Linked DNA regions of Nothobranchius furzeri. The protein of the gene in region 1 purifies or fractionates together with the protein of each later gene. This does not show direct contact. Links are inferred from orthologs where the notes say so. Each region holds a gene or a part of one and is shown on either strand. Other genes may lie near its edges. The genes, in order: lsm1 and patl1.

The links.
Region 2: the proteins of lsm1 (region 1) and patl1 purify together in Homo sapiens (co-immunoprecipitation; 3 studies listed by BioGRID and IntAct, with this or other methods). This does not show direct contact. The link is inferred for Nothobranchius furzeri from reciprocal best matches to the Homo sapiens genes LSM1 and PATL1.

The regions. Positions count from the first base shown.
Region 1 is NC_091757.1:36,764,505-36,773,255, reverse strand, and holds lsm1 (U6 snRNA-associated Sm-like protein LSm1), read left to right. Parts: upstream 1-1,250; 5' UTR 1,251-1,381; coding exon 1,382-1,427; intron 1,428-1,553; coding exon 1,554-1,622; intron 1,623-1,760; coding exon 1,761-1,876; intron 1,877-4,248; coding exon 4,249-4,419; 3' UTR 4,420-4,768; downstream 4,769-8,751. Other genes in the region: grk5l (G protein-coupled receptor kinase 5), read left to right, coding at 7,345-7,396. UniProt on the Homo sapiens protein: Plays a role in the degradation of histone mRNAs, the only eukaryotic mRNAs that are not polyadenylated. Probably also part of an LSm subunits-containing complex involved in the general process of mRNA degradation.
Region 2 is NC_091746.1:29,997,602-30,006,559, forward strand, and holds the start of patl1 (protein PAT1 homolog 1), read left to right. Parts: upstream 1-3,025; 5' UTR 3,026-3,144; coding exon 3,145-3,159; intron 3,160-5,817; coding exon 5,818-5,923; intron 5,924-6,107; coding exon 6,108-6,317; intron 6,318-6,403; coding exon 6,404-6,640; intron 6,641-6,884; coding exon 6,885-6,961; intron 6,962-8,613; coding exon 8,614-8,694; intron 8,695-8,774; coding exon 8,775-8,958. UniProt on the Homo sapiens protein: RNA-binding protein involved in deadenylation-dependent decapping of mRNAs, leading to the degradation of mRNAs. Acts as a scaffold protein that connects deadenylation and decapping machinery.

The DNA.
Region 1 (8,751 bases):
CAGAGCTCCACTAGCCGTCTCGCATCCCCCCGCCACCTTGTGGAGAACCCCGGTATTGCACCCCACACTTTCCTATTCTTATTTTATTACTTTTACTAAATTACACCACTAAATGTTTTAACAAAAGTATGTGACCACACTTTGTGGGCGTCACACTTGTCCATGTAAGGCCCTATAGACCAGAACCAGGATCTTGAAATGAACCCTGAAGTTGACTGGCTGCCAGTGAAGCTGGAGGAGAAGCGGGGTGATGTGGGTGTATTTGGAGGACTTTCTCAGAAGCCGAGCACAGGCATTCTGAATCACCTGTAGACGGTTCAGGGAGGTTCTGCTCAGACACGTGAAAAGAGAGTTACAGTAGTCAATGCGTGAGGAGATGAAGGTGTGGAGAACTGTCTCAAGTTCAGACGGAGACAGAATGGGACTCAGCTTAGCAATGTTCCTGAGATGGAAGAAGGAAGAGCGAACAAGAGAACTGACATGAGAATCCAGGGTGAGAGCTGGGTCAAAGGTCACGCCAAGATTCCTGACAGAAGGTTTGGTGTGGGAAGCAAGCTGACCAAGAGAGTCTCTGACTTTGGGAACCAGCTTGTCTGGGGCGCAGATGAGGATCTCAGTCTTATCTTCATTCAGTTGAAGAAAGCTCCCAGCCATCCAGGTTTTGATAGAGTCTAAGCAGGTGTGTAACAGCTGCAGCTTAGACATCTCATGGGGCTCAAAGGAGATGTACAGTTGGATGTCATCTGCATAAAGATGGTATGGAGATTCCTTTGAAGGAGCTCAGGATGTGCTGAAGAGGAAGCAGATAGAGGAGGAAGAGTATACAAAATTTGCTTTTACAATTTCCCATCACCTATACATCAAAATTAAAGTGAATTTTACAGAACAATCAAGAGTGAGGTAAGTATACTTATAAATTTATTAACTTATTATAAAACGCAAGGGAAAAGAAAGAAGAAAATACATTTTACAGTTTAAATGTATCAACTACGTCTTTTGTTTTTACAGCCTTTTTATTATTTGAAGAGATTGAATCCAAATAATAATAATAATAATATTACCATTATATTATTATTATTATTATTATTATTATTATTATTATTATTATTATTATTATTATTATTATTATTTAGGGAGTATAATGCATGGTATGTGCACGCATGCACCGTCTGTAACACTCCACGCCAGAAGGTGGCGGTAGTCAAACATTTGCCAACAGCCAAAAACCACCAAAAAAGAAGAACGGGTTAAACGTTTACAGGAAGTTCACCGTGAGCATGTATAAAGACACTTCCTGTGGTCTTGTTCAATAAACATTTTAAAACATTCATGGCTTGACGGAACACAGGGATATTAAAACGGAGAAAACCTAAAGACCAATATGAATTACGTACCGGGGACTGCAAGCCTTATTGACGACATTGACAGTAAGACAGAAGCTGAATTTTGTAGTTGTTGACATGGTTTAGTAGAAAATGTTTGAGTCTCGATATTTACGTACACAAGCGAGTAAAACGCATATCTAACGTTCATGTTTTGTTTTCCTCCTGCAGAAAAGCACCTGGTGCTGCTCCGAGATGGCAGGACGCTGATTGGTTACCTCAGAAGCATCGACCAGTTTGGTACTCTTATTTTTAAAAGTCCACTTTGTTTTCTAACTCCGCGTCAATACAGATGGAAGCATTTCTAATTAATCGGTCAGCTGATGATCTCCGCACCTTATATTTCATTTCAACTGATTTTCTGCTTCTGTTCTTCAGCCAATCTGGTGTTTCACCAGACCGTAGAGAGGATCCACGTGGGGAAAAAGTTTGGTGACATCCCCAGAGGCATCTTCATCGTCAGAGGAGAAAATGTAGTTCTGCTTGGAGAGATAGTAAGCTCATTTTTTAAAATCTGAGATATTTTTATTTAGATCTTTTATACTTCATTTATTATGTCCCTATCCCAAAATGGGGTCAGCAAATGGAAATGAATTAAGAAGACATTCTTTATTTCTGCATAAACATTCTTCCTTAATTTTTACTTTGAGTTATACCTCACACAGAGTGCACGTGATGACGTATGAGAAGTTAAAGGTGGTGTTTGGAACAGCCACAGCTTGGAGAAAAATGTTGTTTTCGACGGAGTAACACACGCTTATGGCTAGTCCGAGTGGGGTCACAAAGTGTTTTTGCCAAATTAACCAAACCCAAAATATTTTATAGTATTCCATGCAACTTCTATTTTGTTAAATGCACGGCACCTCTTGGAGCATTTCTGTGGGAAATTAACAGAAATGAACTGCATCTCCAGCTATTGTAACATTTTTTTGGCTGGAATTTTATTATGATTCTGCTGGAATAAACACACATTTAAGGGAATGTTCACTTTTTAATATGCTGAGAAATTTTGAAGATGAGAATTTGTGACTTTTTTTTTTCACTTTAATGCTCAATCATAACTAATCAGTTTCTCCGAACCAAAGCAATTCTATGAGCTACAGTCAATAAGTTGGATATCAGCGGTCTACAACTTTTCCACATCCGTCCCACTTAAAAAGATGAGAACTGGCCCTTTAAGGTCTGTTTTAGTAGTATTAAATAAGCTACCTGCTTATATTATGTCTTATATTATTCAGGGCACATTTTTCTGTTTAACTGGGAAAAATTCAGATTTTTTTCCAAGTAATTTTCTGCCAAGCAGCTAATGAGTAGTTGGCGTCTTACCTGCGGTGGACAGTCGGGATCGTATTTAGATCTCATGATGAAGTCCAGCGCTTACTCAGCAGAATTATCCTCATCACACACTTTAAACTAGATTATAGAGTTTTACATTGCTGCACAGCAGCAGACTGCTGAGCTGGCTTTGGTTAGCTGAAGTGATTCACACAGACACCGTTCCTACCCAGAGTAAATGGACAGATGCAACAGTGCTCTCCACCACCCTGCATGGACAAGCAGGTACTGATAACGGATGGATGGGTGCAACAGTGCTGTAGTGTGGAGAAAATAAAGAACTGCAATAAGCATTTCCTCCTCAGACGCTATGGAAACCTTGTAGGGAGATCTGTGCTTAAATGGGTCTTTTTCTGAATAGTTTGACTTGATCTCAGAAATGAAGCTTTGCAAATTTCTTCTAGAGCCAAATTTAATAAACGGGAGAATATATTTATTTTTAAAGTCACATGCTGTTTTGATTACAGTGCTTGGTAAACTTTGACAAAAAAGGACAATGCACTATTTGACATCTGTATTTTACTCTTACTTTACTTGAACTTTTCCCCAGTATTGTAATTTGATTAAAATCTGCGCTCCTTGGCAGGCTGATGTAATGGGTGAAGACTTAAAGATAAATGGCTCATATGCATATTTTTAGGTAATGCAGAGAAACTATTATCACTACTTAATGATACAGGTGCTGTTTTAAGGATTTAAAGCTCAGTAATGTTTAGTTGAGGGGGGGTGGGTGGTAATCTCGGTATGAGCGGACTTATGGGAAAGCTATCTTGGGGTTTTACCTCCAGTGAACAGATTTTGATTTTGTTTTAAACGAAATATTCATTGCAGAGGGGCCAATTAAAAATATAACCGTTTATGTAGCGTCTATGATTGAATTTTACTACTTTATCCATTATTTTCACAGCTGATTTCTATATTTATCTTTTTGTGAGTAATTTTTTTTTTACTCTCCTGGTGTAATTTAGGGTTATGAAGTTTAACTTGTGAGAGAGATTCTTGAGCTGATCTTTGCAGTGACCCATTCCAGGGGCTGAGGACCTTCTAGGCCAGCACACAGAACAAGCGTGACTCATGATCTCCAACTTATCTCGCTCTACAAATGTACATCATGCAAATCTGCACTGACACCAGTACAGCCTGTACTGGTGGAGCGTCTACAGCACACAGTGACACTTCTTGTTACCAACATGTATGTAAGGATGGGCATCTTAATTTTGCTTTGCAAGATGTTCTCATCGCTTTGAGCTTCATGGAAGAATTAAGTTATGTCCTGTTACTCACTTATCACTCATTACTAATTTATTTTCAATTTAAATAGCTGAAAATAAGCTGTTAGGCAGTGATTCCCTCTATATGACAGGTTTGCTGCTCTTCACTTAAACAACTAGCCATCACAACTCAGACTAGTACAAGAGTGGAAGTTTGAACCATGTGAGGGATGCAAGCCTGCCAGAACATTTAGTATCACTTAGCCACAATTTGGCTTTGAGTTTGCTGTTTGACCTTGGATGTGTCTGCATCCCTGCAGGATGTGGATAAACCCTGTGACACGGTCTTGCAGCAGGTCTCCATCGAGGAGATCCTGGAGGAGCAGCGACAGCAGCAGCAAACCAAGCAGGAGACGGAGAAGGTCAAAATGCAGGTGCTAAAGGACCGAGGCCTTTCCATTCCCAAAGCGGATAACATGGACGAGTACTGATGTCGCCATTTTTCACGAGCGTCTTTCTCAGTTTGTATCAGACTGCTACATTTACGTTGGAAATTAGTGTTTTTGTCTTTTAATTCCCAGTTGGCTAAAGACGGCATCATTTAATTTTCATTTAGTATTGAATATTTTGTTTTAAAAGGAAAAGATGATCTGCTGTTTTATTTTTTGGTAATTCATGTCAGCGCATTAAATGGTATTGGATCATGATCATTATGTTGGTAATCCTTTCACAGAAACACTTTGTGATTATATTATTTTGCTATGATGTCTTCTGTTGTGGAGATTTGTGAGTCTGCTTTTGACAAACATTACTTTCCACCAATAAAGATTTTAGTTTGTATTTATGGAGCATATGCTTGTGGAAAGAAATAAAAATCCCTGAAACCCCCTGCAAGAACCCAACCCCACCAGCATTACCGTCAGATTCAGCATGGCTGTTCTCTTGTTCCATGTACTCACTAGAGGCAGATTTCATTTGGATAATTGAGTTGAAGCATATCAGTGCATCGGACAGCTTCCTGTTGTAGAGAGGACGGGTTGGAGAAATCGATCCTATTAGGCTTCATCAGTCCCTATAAGTCTGGATGGATGATGATGATGCAACGGGCAGGGAGCAGCTTCTGTTGCATCAGCATCTACTCTAAACTTCATCTGGTTCTTTTATTAAACAGTAGAGAACAGGAGGAAAATTTGAGTTTAATGTGAGATCAAGCTTTTTATTCTTAGAACTGTGATTTCCTGTCTGCTTTCAAAATAAAACTCTTCCCCGTAAGGCTTTACACCATCTTGGAAAGTGGGATTATGTGGAAGAGTTGATTTCTTGTTCTCTTGGAGAAACAGATTAGTTCTGATTAAACAGACGAGTTAACGGCTTGACTAAACAGGGCTGCAGAGCATCTTAAAACCATTTGTCTCCAACACTTTAAAGCACTTTTGGAGATGATATTTAATCGCTTTCACCACTGTAATTTTCACACACAGTTATTCTGGTAGAGTTATGACATCCCAGCTTATGGTGCTAGAGCCACACAGCTAATTTCTGCTGCAAATAACCGAGTTCTATGTAAAAAGTGAACTAAATAATGCTTTTATAAACCCCTAATGTTTTAATATGAGTATTAACTTAAGACAGCAGGAATGCTTCGCAACCGGCCCTTTTCAGACCAGCCATTGGCATGTTCTTTCTATAGGAGGCGCTCTGCGTTTTTCCAAACTGAGGTTGTTTAAAGACAACATGCAAGATGTTAATTGTTCACAACCTTTTAACTAAAATGCACTTTAAAAAAACAGAAATACCATTTCAAGAGCATTCTTATCAGTAACACATTTTAACCTTCGTAGTAATGTTGTGTTTTAAGAAAAAAGGTTTAAACATGAACACAATTATAGTAGCTGGCAACTGGTTTTAATTAATGCAGCTTTAAATATTTATTAAAATTTATTTGAGCATAGCTAAGCTGATAGGTCCTATTTAGTTTTAACACAGATGATTTTTGGCTCTTGCTGAATTAAAAGTTTTTTATATTATTTGGAAAGGCTGCATTTGTATAGATTTATTTTTCTGCCAGGTCTGAATGACTTAGATGCCCATTCTAAAGCTGCTCTCTTTAAATCAAAATGGGTTTGTGTCATGAATGTACACTTGAGCTTTAGCCCTTATGCAGACTGCAGCTTATGGAAAAGCAATGGCTGCATTTACAAATGACTGGGTTTGCCAAACTCTCCCCAGGGTAGTTTTTCCAAACAAAAATCAACACGAGATGCAAAATATAGTTATTTTAAAAGCTGCTAAATATCAACTTAGCCAAGCTGTCATATGAGTGGTCTTGTACTAATGGCAGAATTATGCTAAAGTAGATCATGTGCAAAAATCACTCCAGGGTTATTAAGTATTTTCACATATACACAGTCCTGCAATAGGAACTGTAAAGATGCTGCATGGCTTGCCAAAAATAATTTGTTAATATCTGTTATTTTTGGGTAGTTTATGCTTTTTAAATTTCCGAGATCCAGATGTGGGCCACATGGTGGTGCAGTTGGTAACAGCAAGAAGGTTGACTGGTTGAATCCCCCTTTGCAGCCTTTCAGTGTGGAGTTTGCATGTTTTCCCCGTGAATGCATGTGTTTTCTTCGGGTGCTCGTGTTGTCCTCCCACAGACCAAAGACACGCATGTTAAAAAAATAATAATAAACTAATTTATCCGTAGTTGTTAGTGAATGTCACTGGTTGGTCTCCCTGTGTGGCTTAGTGATGGACTGGAGACCTGTCCAAGGTGTCCCCCGGTTTCTCATGACTGCTGGAGGTAGACACCAGCCCATGTGACCTTATTGAGGGGTGAGGGAGAGATCAGGAGCCAGATAAGTCACAATAGTCGCAGAGCTTTTATTTTGGTGAAACGTTCCGGTGGCGTTAATCAGTGCGTCTTGACGCTTCTGTGTAATTTAGGCCCAGCCTGATTACGCACCAACTCCGGAGGAGGGGGCGCTCTGGTGTCCTCTCTGGTGCACTCAGCCAACCCCTGCCGCCGCTGTTGCTCTCCTGCTGTATCCGAGTGAAGGATCTCCTCAGATCAACCCGGTTTCATCAACATCGGATTCCTCCAAGTTAATGCTTTTCTGCATCGGAGAGATCTGGCATCCAAACCACGCATGGAACGGTTTTTGGGGAATTGGAGTCGAAATGCAGCGCCGTACTTCCAGCCCACAACAAGAACCATGCCCAATTTACACTGCAAGCAAATCTATGACATCCTGTTTTATCCTTTACGACTTTGATAGGAGTGAAATTTGCTCGGATATCGTCGAGGAGTGAAATCGAGGAGATCGCGCCGTGCCAGCAGGAAAGGACGCTGTTCTCGCTGCAGACGCTCGAGTACCGAAAAAAAACCCTCTGCATTCAGGATTTTTCAGCTTTTCATGGAGCTGGAGAACATAGTAGCCAACACTGTACTGCTAAAAGCGAGAGAGGGTAAGTGGAATGGTATAAACTCAACTCTGTGCGAATGGCAGACAGGGCCCCTGCTTTGTGACATTTTGCGCTCTGCATGCAGAAAAAGTGGGAATGATCGCAGGGATAACGGCAGCCTGCGGATTGTGCGGCTCAGGTAAATCCGGCAGATGCAACAGAAAACAGAGAGGGTCTTATGTAAGACATCACAGCAGCGGCGGATCACAGTTCAGCTCGTTAACAACGAAATCCTCCCAAAACATGTCTGTCATTGTTTTATCCTCGCTAATTTTGACAGATCGTTTCCCCGCAGATGTGAGGGGAGGGTCTGCCTCCCACATCCGCTTTCGCTGTCTGTGCAAACGAAGGCGGCTCTTTCGCAACATTCTGAATGCTGAAGCGCACACAAGGCAGGGAATAAACTCCCCCAGAGAGGGGACGCACGAGGGGAGGCTGGCTGGCATTTGGACAGTGAGCTGATGACGTGACTGCTGCTAAAATCTATGCAAGAGGGGCCCCTGCAAAAGAGAGGCACACACACGAGGAGGGGGAGTCAAATGTCTGAAGGCCACATGCAGCTGATGGCAGCATCGCTGATGTCCTGTTCTAGTGGAAGAGTTTGCTTATTATCTGGAGTCAGACTCTGCAGGTTTCTGCTGCCATTCGTGGTGGTAGGGTGATCAACGATCCCATGTTTGTTAGAAGGTTCATGTCAGACCTGATTTGCATAAAGTTCCACCTGAATTCAGTAAAAATAGAAATCATGACTGGATCAAAACTGAAAATAATAAAGAATTTAACAAAAATTATTTCTAAACTTATAGAAATGTTCAACTTTCTTTACATTTAATTATGCAGATAGGGTTGAAAATAGTGTGTGTGTGTGTGTGTGTGTGTGTGTGTGTGTGTGTGTGTGTGTGTGTGTGTGTGTGTGTGTGTGTGTGTGTGTGTGTGTGTGTGTGTGTGTGTGTGTGTGTGTGTGATTATATTCTCCTGATTTGGAAACACTGTTTTCTTCCAGCAATGTGGAGATGAATTGGGGAAGTTTAGAGAGGCACTGTTGCAAAAACCTTTCAACAAGTTGGGGGTGATGGGGCCCACCTAAACGAAAATCCAGAATAAAATTTCAGGAAATTTATTACACTGTTGTTTATATAAGAGTAAGGGAAACACCTTCTGCAGCAGGCCTATTAGTGTTGTACTCAACGTCTTTACATCAAAGGAAAGAAGCACTGATAATGGTCCCCCGGGTCTCCCTTTGGTGCAGTCATGTTCTTATCATCTAAAGTGAAGACTACCATTGATAGATCCCCGGAAAAGAAAAAAAAATCCTATTATCAGCCAGTCCCAAGAATGAAAACCAATATTAGTTGTGA
Region 2 (8,958 bases), on another chromosome or scaffold:
GTACATTTTAATAGGCTAAAACATGAGAAATTTAAAACACATAATTGTGGTTTAAGAACCTAACCGTTAAAGTCTGAAAAATAAAATAATAATATAATAATATTGTTTTAAAGTGGATTATTTATTGTCTAATGTTAATATAATAACATCATAAAAACGTGTCATAAACAAATGACCTCGGCCCTCACCACCTGTACACCCTCCACCTGGAGGCAACATACCTGTATGGGACTGTAACTGGTTTCTGATGAAGGTACTAATCCTGATGCAACACCAGGATGATTTAGAGCCACAAGTGCTTTGATGGAAATTTCAGCCACTCTTCTATTAGATTTAAATTTAAGCTTTAAGAGGCAATGTGTAGATTTTACCATTAACCTCTGGAAATATCCATTAAAATGTTGTTGAAAATGGATGAAACGATGCCCAGTTGTTGGGAAATACTGGCAGCTTCATAACATATAACCATAAAAATCAGGTCTAAAGCCTGATTTATACTTCTCCGTGAGCTCCGCAACAGAGAAACACACATGGGGTGTCGGAAAGGTTTTCACATTCGAACTTCTGTTCAGGCAGCAGAGTGTTACAAAGTAAGAAGTTTTGGGAAGAAGCCCATTGTTGGTGAAGAAATAAAATAAGAGAAGTTGATCGTTTTACAAATGAAGATATTATTATTTACAATTCTAAATTAAATGGGAATATTTCATCGTTAATTAACATTATTATTATTATTATGGGTAAATAATAACACACACACACACACACACACACACACACACATACACATTATACAAAAAGGAAATAGTGGTTGAACCAATAATGGGGTAAACATTTCTGAATGTAAACAACTACCTCTGCATAGAAATTGCACACACCTGCTGCTATATGTTTTGTATATTATTAGCGATATTTACCTGTTTAATATTATCTTATTGTTAGGGATGTTTTTTGTTTTGTTATTGTTGTGCATCTGCACTTTATGTAAATGTCTACGCATGGGACAGTGGGAAACGTAATTTCAATTCCTTGTATGGCAAGCACATTCGAAGAATTGACAAATAAAGTATTCTATTCTATTCTATTCTATTCTATTCTATTCTATTCTATTCTATTCTAAATACCACATCCACAAAAGCAAATGGAAAAAACAACTGCCAAACATGAACTGCATCATGAAGGAATTTCGTATGTTCTTATTCACTTTGACTCGTATAAAAAATTCAAATGTAATTGCAAAAGCCATTTGTCATGCTGCAGAAAAGTGTTTCATCTTGTAACACGGTTTTTACTTAGTGATATAAGTGCCTCTTTTTTAAGTTTCTTATTTGTTTTTCTTTTATTGTTACTAAGGATGCCTTGCATGTTTCCATTATGTGTTGTTGTCTCCACGAGAAACTGTAATAAGCATATGTTGATAATAACAAAAAAGAGTGTTACAAAGCAATTCCCCAGCAGGACAACAGAGGGCGTAGCGCTTTTCTGTGGTATCTTGCCACCATAACACTAACGTATCCAGTCCCCGATAGTGTATTTACTAATATGTTTATTTATTTCAGAGACTTTATAACAGGGCCAAATTTGTCCTTCATTCTCGTCCACCTCTTCATGCGAACGCCACCTCTAAACCCACATTTCCCATCGCTTCCGTCCACGTTTGCTCTGTATTTTGTACTCCTTCATTCATGGGTGAATAAATGTTGATAATTTTTGGACTTTTTCCGTGATGCGTTCTTCAATCTGTTCGAGGTCTGCTGCTAAATATTGGCTAAATATCTGGTTACTTTTTAACGAAGTTACAGCGGTGCTGATGACAAATATACAGGAAGCAGCGTCCTGACCAATCACAGGCTTGCAGTCTCCGTCACTTTCGACGGATGTTTAAAATTTTGGGCTTGTCTCCGTCACCCTCTGTGAGCCTGTCGGAGAGCCCTTGCGCCGACTTATAATGGTGCTGCGTGTCTCCGCATTGATGCAGACGGAGAAGTATAAATCAGGCCACACATGGGAGTGGGTCTAAGTCTCTGGGCGACGGCTTATTTGATGCAATGTGTCCTTCTACGGGAGCCCATGAGGACAAATTTCATTTACTGATTAGCAACAAGCGGTTACAAAACTTTTGTCATTCTTAAATGTTGTTTTACACATGTACATCTTCACTTGTTGCCAGTGATGAAAGAGTGTCTGAGGGTGACGGTGGCACAGGAGTTAAGTGCTCGCCCCGTAATCGGAAGGTTGCAGGTTCGAGCCCCGCTCAGTCTGTCGCTGTCGTTGTGTCCTTGGGCAAGACACTTAACCCACGTTGCCTGCTGGTGGTGGTCGGAGGGACCGGTGGCGCCAGAGCTCGGCAGCCTCGCCTCTGTCAGTGCGCCCCAGGGCAGCTGTGGCTACATCGTAGCTCATCCCCACCAGTGTGTGAATGTGTGTGTGAATGGGTGAATGACTGATTGTGTTGTAACGTGCCTTGGGGGGTTCCAGGACTCTAGAAGGTGCTATATCAAATAAAGGCCGTTTACCATTTACCATTTATTTTGCAAAAGTTTACACTCCCCAGGGCTTTTTGACCCTAATGGATATCCGTTGGCATGGTCTTACTCCAACACAAAAAAACTGCTTGCAACGATTTAGGTATCTACCGCCCCCTATCGCCAGGAAAAATACACACTGTCACTTTAAGTGTTTGTTATATAACACATTTATAATTACACTTTTTCAAGAGGTCATGTGATACTTTTTACCTAAAAGCTGAAATATCATTATTATGCATGATTTATAAAACAAGGATTTAAAATATTCTGCTTCCCAGACTCACCTGATGTTTGACAGCAATTCATTAATCTGCCTGTTTCGCTAAATGCATTTAGTTAACATAAATAATGAAAGGGGTCGAAAACAAAAACATTCAGAAAACAAAACCAGGCTCATATCAATAAAAACATATTTGTTTACCGTGTCTCTCCGTTTTCTGTGTTTACTGTCCTTCTTCCTGTTTTTCCAGCGTAGCCTCAACGTCACCAGCAGCCACGCAGTTACGTGCTCGTTCACTGTGCTGTCACGCGCTTAAGTGAAAGACGTCCCGTCCCCGCTGCGTCGTTTGCGCGCAGCTTCGCTCCTGATGCTCTCCTTTTCCCGACAACCTGAGGATCGATGTTTCGATTTCAGGTGAGCATTGGTCCGTGTAAGTGAGCCTGGACCCCACCAGAACCGGGAGGTTTGTGTGTATCGAATGTTCTCTTGTGGTTCTGGTCCGCGTGAGGCTTCTGGCCTTTGTTTATGCGGCTGCCAGACTTCAATGCGGTCTGCGGCCTGTGAAGCAGCCCGCTTTCCTGGTGACGTGAGCCGGAGGGACGGCTAGCCTCCCCGTCCTCTGTCGGCCCAGATAACCCGGCTGTGTGATTCGTATCGTGTTGCTGTACAGGGCCAGACTGCGGTCACTAACCCGACATGATTTTATTTGACAGATTTTCTACTGATGTGTTTTATGTGATGTAATGTCCAGGTTAGCACCGAAGCTAACTGGTCCTCGGGCTGTCTGCAGGATGTCTGAGGGTCGCGTGCAGCTTTTCTGCTTCACCGTGATTTAAGTTTAGATTATCAGTAAAGGAAACCCCCACTAGCTTCATTTACAGTCATCTTTAGTTCTGCATTTAGACTCTTAGCAAATGTAGAGCAAGAGTTGGGACTGGGTTATTCTAGACCCTTTGACTGATGAGATAAAATTAGGTAAAAAGGTGGTCTTAACAGGTACTTGTAAACTTTTCAATTCAAGTTTATTTATAAAGCGCCAAATCACGACAAGAGTTGTCTCAAGGCACTTCACATAATAAACATTCCAATTCAGGTCAGTTCATTAAGCCAATCAGAAAAAAGTTTCCTATATAAGGAACCCAGCGGGTCGCATCAAGTCACTGACTAGTGTCTGTGACTATACAGCAATCCTCATACTTAACAAGCATATAGCTACAGTGGAGAGGAAAACTCCTTTTTAACAGGAAGAAACCTCCAGAGGATCCTGGCTCGGTATAAGCAGCCATCCTCCACGACTCACTGGGAATGGAGAAGATCTAAAGTGGTTTCCTGTTCAGTCTGAGACTCTGAACCTTTCCTATTTAGGTCCTTATTATCTACAAAAATCAACAAACCTGTGCGGCAGCTCACCAGGCTCTGCAGCAGCCTGTTAATCACAGCAGATTCAAACCAGGTGTGTTTAAGCAGAGAAACAACTAAAACCTGCTGGATAGCGGCCCTCTAGGGCCAAGCCCCCCCCCAGTTCTACACCATGGAGCAACCAGCTTTTACTTTTTAACATAACAGAAACCTGATCTTGACTCAGTCCAGAGGTGGTGGTGACCTCTTTAGACTATCTGGGATTGACCAAACTCACTGGGAAAATGGGAATTACAACGGTCTTCCAAGTTTTTGTTGGAGGAATTGGACTCCATATGGACTGGAACCAAAGAAGAGGATCATCCAGACTGGTGTCAGCACCAGGTCCAAAACCCAGGTTCTGTAGTGGATGTGGACCTGTGTTCTGTAAGGGTACGGGTTTGGATCCGGGTATTTTGTCTTCATGTCTTCTGAATCGGGACTCTAACAAATTTTGCAGGACGAAATATTGTCCAACAAGTTATTGACAATAAATGATATTATTGTCGACGTTATCGAGATAACCACTAATGTAATGTTAATCATTCATATTAATGCAAGTACATCCTTTAAAATGCAACAATTAAGCCTTTAACTTCAGTGATATGTTTTCGGCAGTAATGAAACGTCTGAGCTCTGCCTGGTTCCTTTGAGGTCGTAGAGATCTACGTTATTGATTATAGACAATTTCTGAAAATACAGATCTCTAGCCTCCATCACGGTTTTATTCCTGTTAGGAAACCTTGTTGTTTTTTATCCATCTTCTTGACTCTTGTTCTGCTTCAACTTCATCTGCGCCGCGGCTTCCCCTAACATTAGGAGTCACATGGCGCTGGTTCTCCCACGCTCCGCTTGGCCTTGAGTCGGAAAGGGGTGTGTCTTCTCCTGGTCTGGGACTGAACAAGTATCTCGGATTCTCGTTCATGAGTGAGGAAAAGATGGAGCATGAGATCGACAGGCGGATTGGTGCGATGCAGTGATGTAGGCGTTGTACCGGTCTGTCGTGGCCAAAAGAGCAGAGCAAGAAGCCAAAGTTCTGGATTTCTTGGTCGATCTACGTTCCATGGTCGAAATGAGTTTTCTCCAGGGTGGCCGGGTTCTTCCTTAGAGCTAGAGAGGAGCCAGTTGAGGTGGCTTGAGCACCTGGTTAGGATGGCTCTTGGATGCCTCCTTGGTAAGGTTTTCTGGGCACGTCCAACCATGTGGAGACCTAAAGGAAGACCCAGGACACGCTGGAGGGACTGCGTTTTTCGACTGGCCAGGGAACACTTTGGGTTTCCCCCGGAGGATCTGGTCCACGTGGCTGGGGAGAGGGAAGTCTGGGCCTCCCTGCTTAAGCTGCTGCCCCCATGACCCGACCCCTTATAATGGGAAGAGATTGGATGGATGGATGGAGACATACGATTTGCTGTTGTGACCCTTGAAGGGACAAGCCAGAAGATATGAAAACTGTAAAATTACAACAAGCTGAATCGATTTTCTGAATATTTCGGCAAATAAACTGGAAATCATTTCAGGATTATTAGTTTTGAAAGTAATGAAGCTACTCGTGATTGTGTTTGGTCCCGTGTGCAGAGAAGATGTGCGTGTTTTCGTTGATTTAGCATTTTTTTATGTTTAGTTCGCATTCCTCCTGGTTCCTAACTCATCCGCTCTTCCTGTTTGCCCGGTCAGTCCCTGGATGACGACTGTACGCTGGAGGAGGAAGATGATGGACTAATAGAAGAGGAAGATGAAATAGATCAGTTCAACGATGACACCTTCGGAGCTGGCGCCATCGGTGAGTCTCACATGAAACATGCTGGAAGTTTTGATTTCATGTGATCTTTGCTGATCCGACACCATTTTGGTCGGAACCCTTTTTTAGGGTTTGGTGGTTTTATTGATATTTTTTATTATAAAAATCTTCCCTAAAAGCAGCTTTAGGAAGCTGACAAACTTCCATCTTTTCCTTCCTCCTCCAGATGATGACTGGCAGGAGGAACACAAGCGCCTGGCTGAGCTGGATGAGCGTGTTGGGTTAGGAGGAGGTGAGGTTGAAGGGGAGGTGGATTCAGGCGGGTCCAAGCCCGGGTCCTCCATCCACCGCCCCTCCTCTTCAGTAAACCCCCCCCTTCAGTCTTCCCTTCCTCCCTTCGGTTTCTCCTCGTCTTCCCCTGGGCTGCCACCACAAGGTTCGTGACGTCGTTGCCCAGTATTCATCACCTGGTTCTCGCTGAAATGTAATGTCTTTATGACGTCCTGTTTGAAACTCTTTCAGATGCAGACGACCGAGCCAGAGAAGGCGGACTGGCCGAGTCGCTGGCCCGACTCATCCTGGAGGCAGACCCGGCCATCGCTGGTGTGGGGGCAGCCGAGAGGCCCCGTCCATCTCCCAGCTCCTCAGCATCCAGCCTGTCAGTTCTGCACAGTCTGGATCAGCCCAGAGTCCTGCCGCAGTCCTCCTCCATCCCTCACCAGCGCCAACCCCAGCTGCCTCCAGGCCCCATCACTTCAGGTCAGCTTGACAGCATCAATCAGAATCCAGTTTGTCCTTCATGGTGGTGAAACGGGTCATAGAAAGAAGCTTTTATTACTCTGGAAACTGTTCCGTCCACGAGTCGCTGATTAGAGATGCACAAGCGCCAGAGGCACCTCTGCTGACGGGTGCATCTAGAAGTGGAGCTCACGCTGTCGCCGTCGCAGGTACACACAGGATCCAGAAATACCTGACCTAACAGACTCTCGTTGCTCCTCTGCAGGTCTTCCTTCCTCTTCGATGCTGAGCTACCAGCAGCAGCAGCAGCTGCTGCGGCGCGGCACCGCTCCCATGGGCCAGGTGAGTCCAGGTCACGGTGCGTCTGTGGGAACATCCTGAACTCCTTTAAGGTGTTGAATGTTTTGTATAGACACGTTTCTGTGTCATATCATCACAAAGCTGCTGGGAACAGGAAACGGGTCAGAACTAGGGTTGTCACGGTAACCGGTGTAGCGGTAAACCCGGTAAAAAAGTAGACAATAATAATAACCGTCTTGCTTTTTAAAAACTATATTATGTCGGTGGGTTAGCGTGGCTGCGGTGTAGGCGCGGTGACCCTTACCAGCCACCGTATCATCTGCTGAAGTTGCCGGCGGCACATGCGCACTTTGTTGTTTACAACCAAAACTTTCTTGAAGCTAAAGCTGAAATAATGGCCAAAGGAGGAGACGGCAGCGCTCAGGACATTTATTATCCCTCAAAGAAGACAAAGTGGGAAGTACGGGCATTTTTTGGATATCTGAAGAATGCCGAGGGACAGCTGATAGAAGACGGCTATCCTGTTTGCAGCGCGTGCAGAAAAAGTGTCTGTGAAAGGCAGCAACGCTTCAAATCTCATGACACATCTGCGTGACCATCACCCACAACTCTACAGTCAACGCAAGGCAAGCTAACGTTAGCGTTTTAGCTAAAATGCGTGATCCGAGGATTTGGGTTGAGGGAGAACGCAACGAGTCGCTATATAAAGCAGCCGCAGCGCCGCTACCTGCATATAAACCGTGTCGCGGACACCGCCATGTTGAAATGACGCTATGCATTACGGGGCTCCCAGGGGCAGATAAGAGTTGGTCTCTCTCCGAGAATAATTATGAATTTAACAACGATTACTGCCTGATGACATTTTCCCACATCTGCAAAGCTCACTGGAAGGACACAAACCGAGGACAATATTTTCCTGATATAGGGTTTATTACTCAAGTAAGGGTAAAAAAGTATCTGATTAGAAGGCTACTTGAGTACTGAGTATCATCTGATCTAATACTTTTAAAATGATGACATCAAACGGACATAAAATAAGAAGTTATGGGCAAATATTGGTATTTTAAAGACTGAAGGGGAAAATGTAAACAAATAAACAACATAATTACAGAATAACACATTTTAGGCAACATTTAGACACAAACTGAGGACAATATTTCCTGATATACAGGGTTTATTTAGTTGTGTGAAAATGTAACACGTTTAAAAAAACTACCGCGATAATACCGAAAACCGTGGTAATTTTGTTCACAACAACCGTGAGGTTAGATTTTCACACCGTCACAACTCTAGTCAGAACACAGGAAACTGTTGGCTAAACATGAAAACACAAGTTTATTTACAACAGAAACTCGAAGGAAATGAACAGAGCGGACCAGAATCTCCTCTGTGGGCCAGTTCGGGTCTAAAACACATAAAATCTTTAGAACCTCTTGTTTTGTTTTAATAAACTCTGTCAGCAGAACAAAGGGCTTGGACCCGTCTAAATGTTGGCTTGCTCTCGTTTTTCTCGGGTTTAAACGCGGAGTTTCTGGTTTAGATGATTTATTTCAGGCGGCTGGTGAAAAGAAGCATTTACAGGTGAAACTGATGAACGAGGAACCGCAGCCTTTAACGCGCTCATCCTGGTGGGTTCTGATGGAACGCGAGAACAGGATGAACCTCGTTTCTTTGTCACATCTTCTTGTCTTTAGATGAACTCTCACAACATCTGGGACAACAGCATGAGTTTTGGACCGGTCAGCGTCTCCCCCGGACTCGTCACACACATGGAGGTCAGGGAGACTCGTCGGGTCTCAGACTCTCGTATAAACTTCAGAACCGGTGACTCTGGATGTTTATGCTTCCTCTGCAGGACAGTCCACTCATGTCCATCATCAAAGAGGGCGGTCTCCCAAAGCGTCCTCCTCAGGGGAGGAGCGATGAAGGACGGGACTTGTCCGAGCGGGTTCCACCGCCACGTTCTTCCTCCCCTGTGATTGGCTCTCCTCCAGTGAGGGCCGTGCCTATTGGGACTCCACCCAAGCAGCCGATGAGCC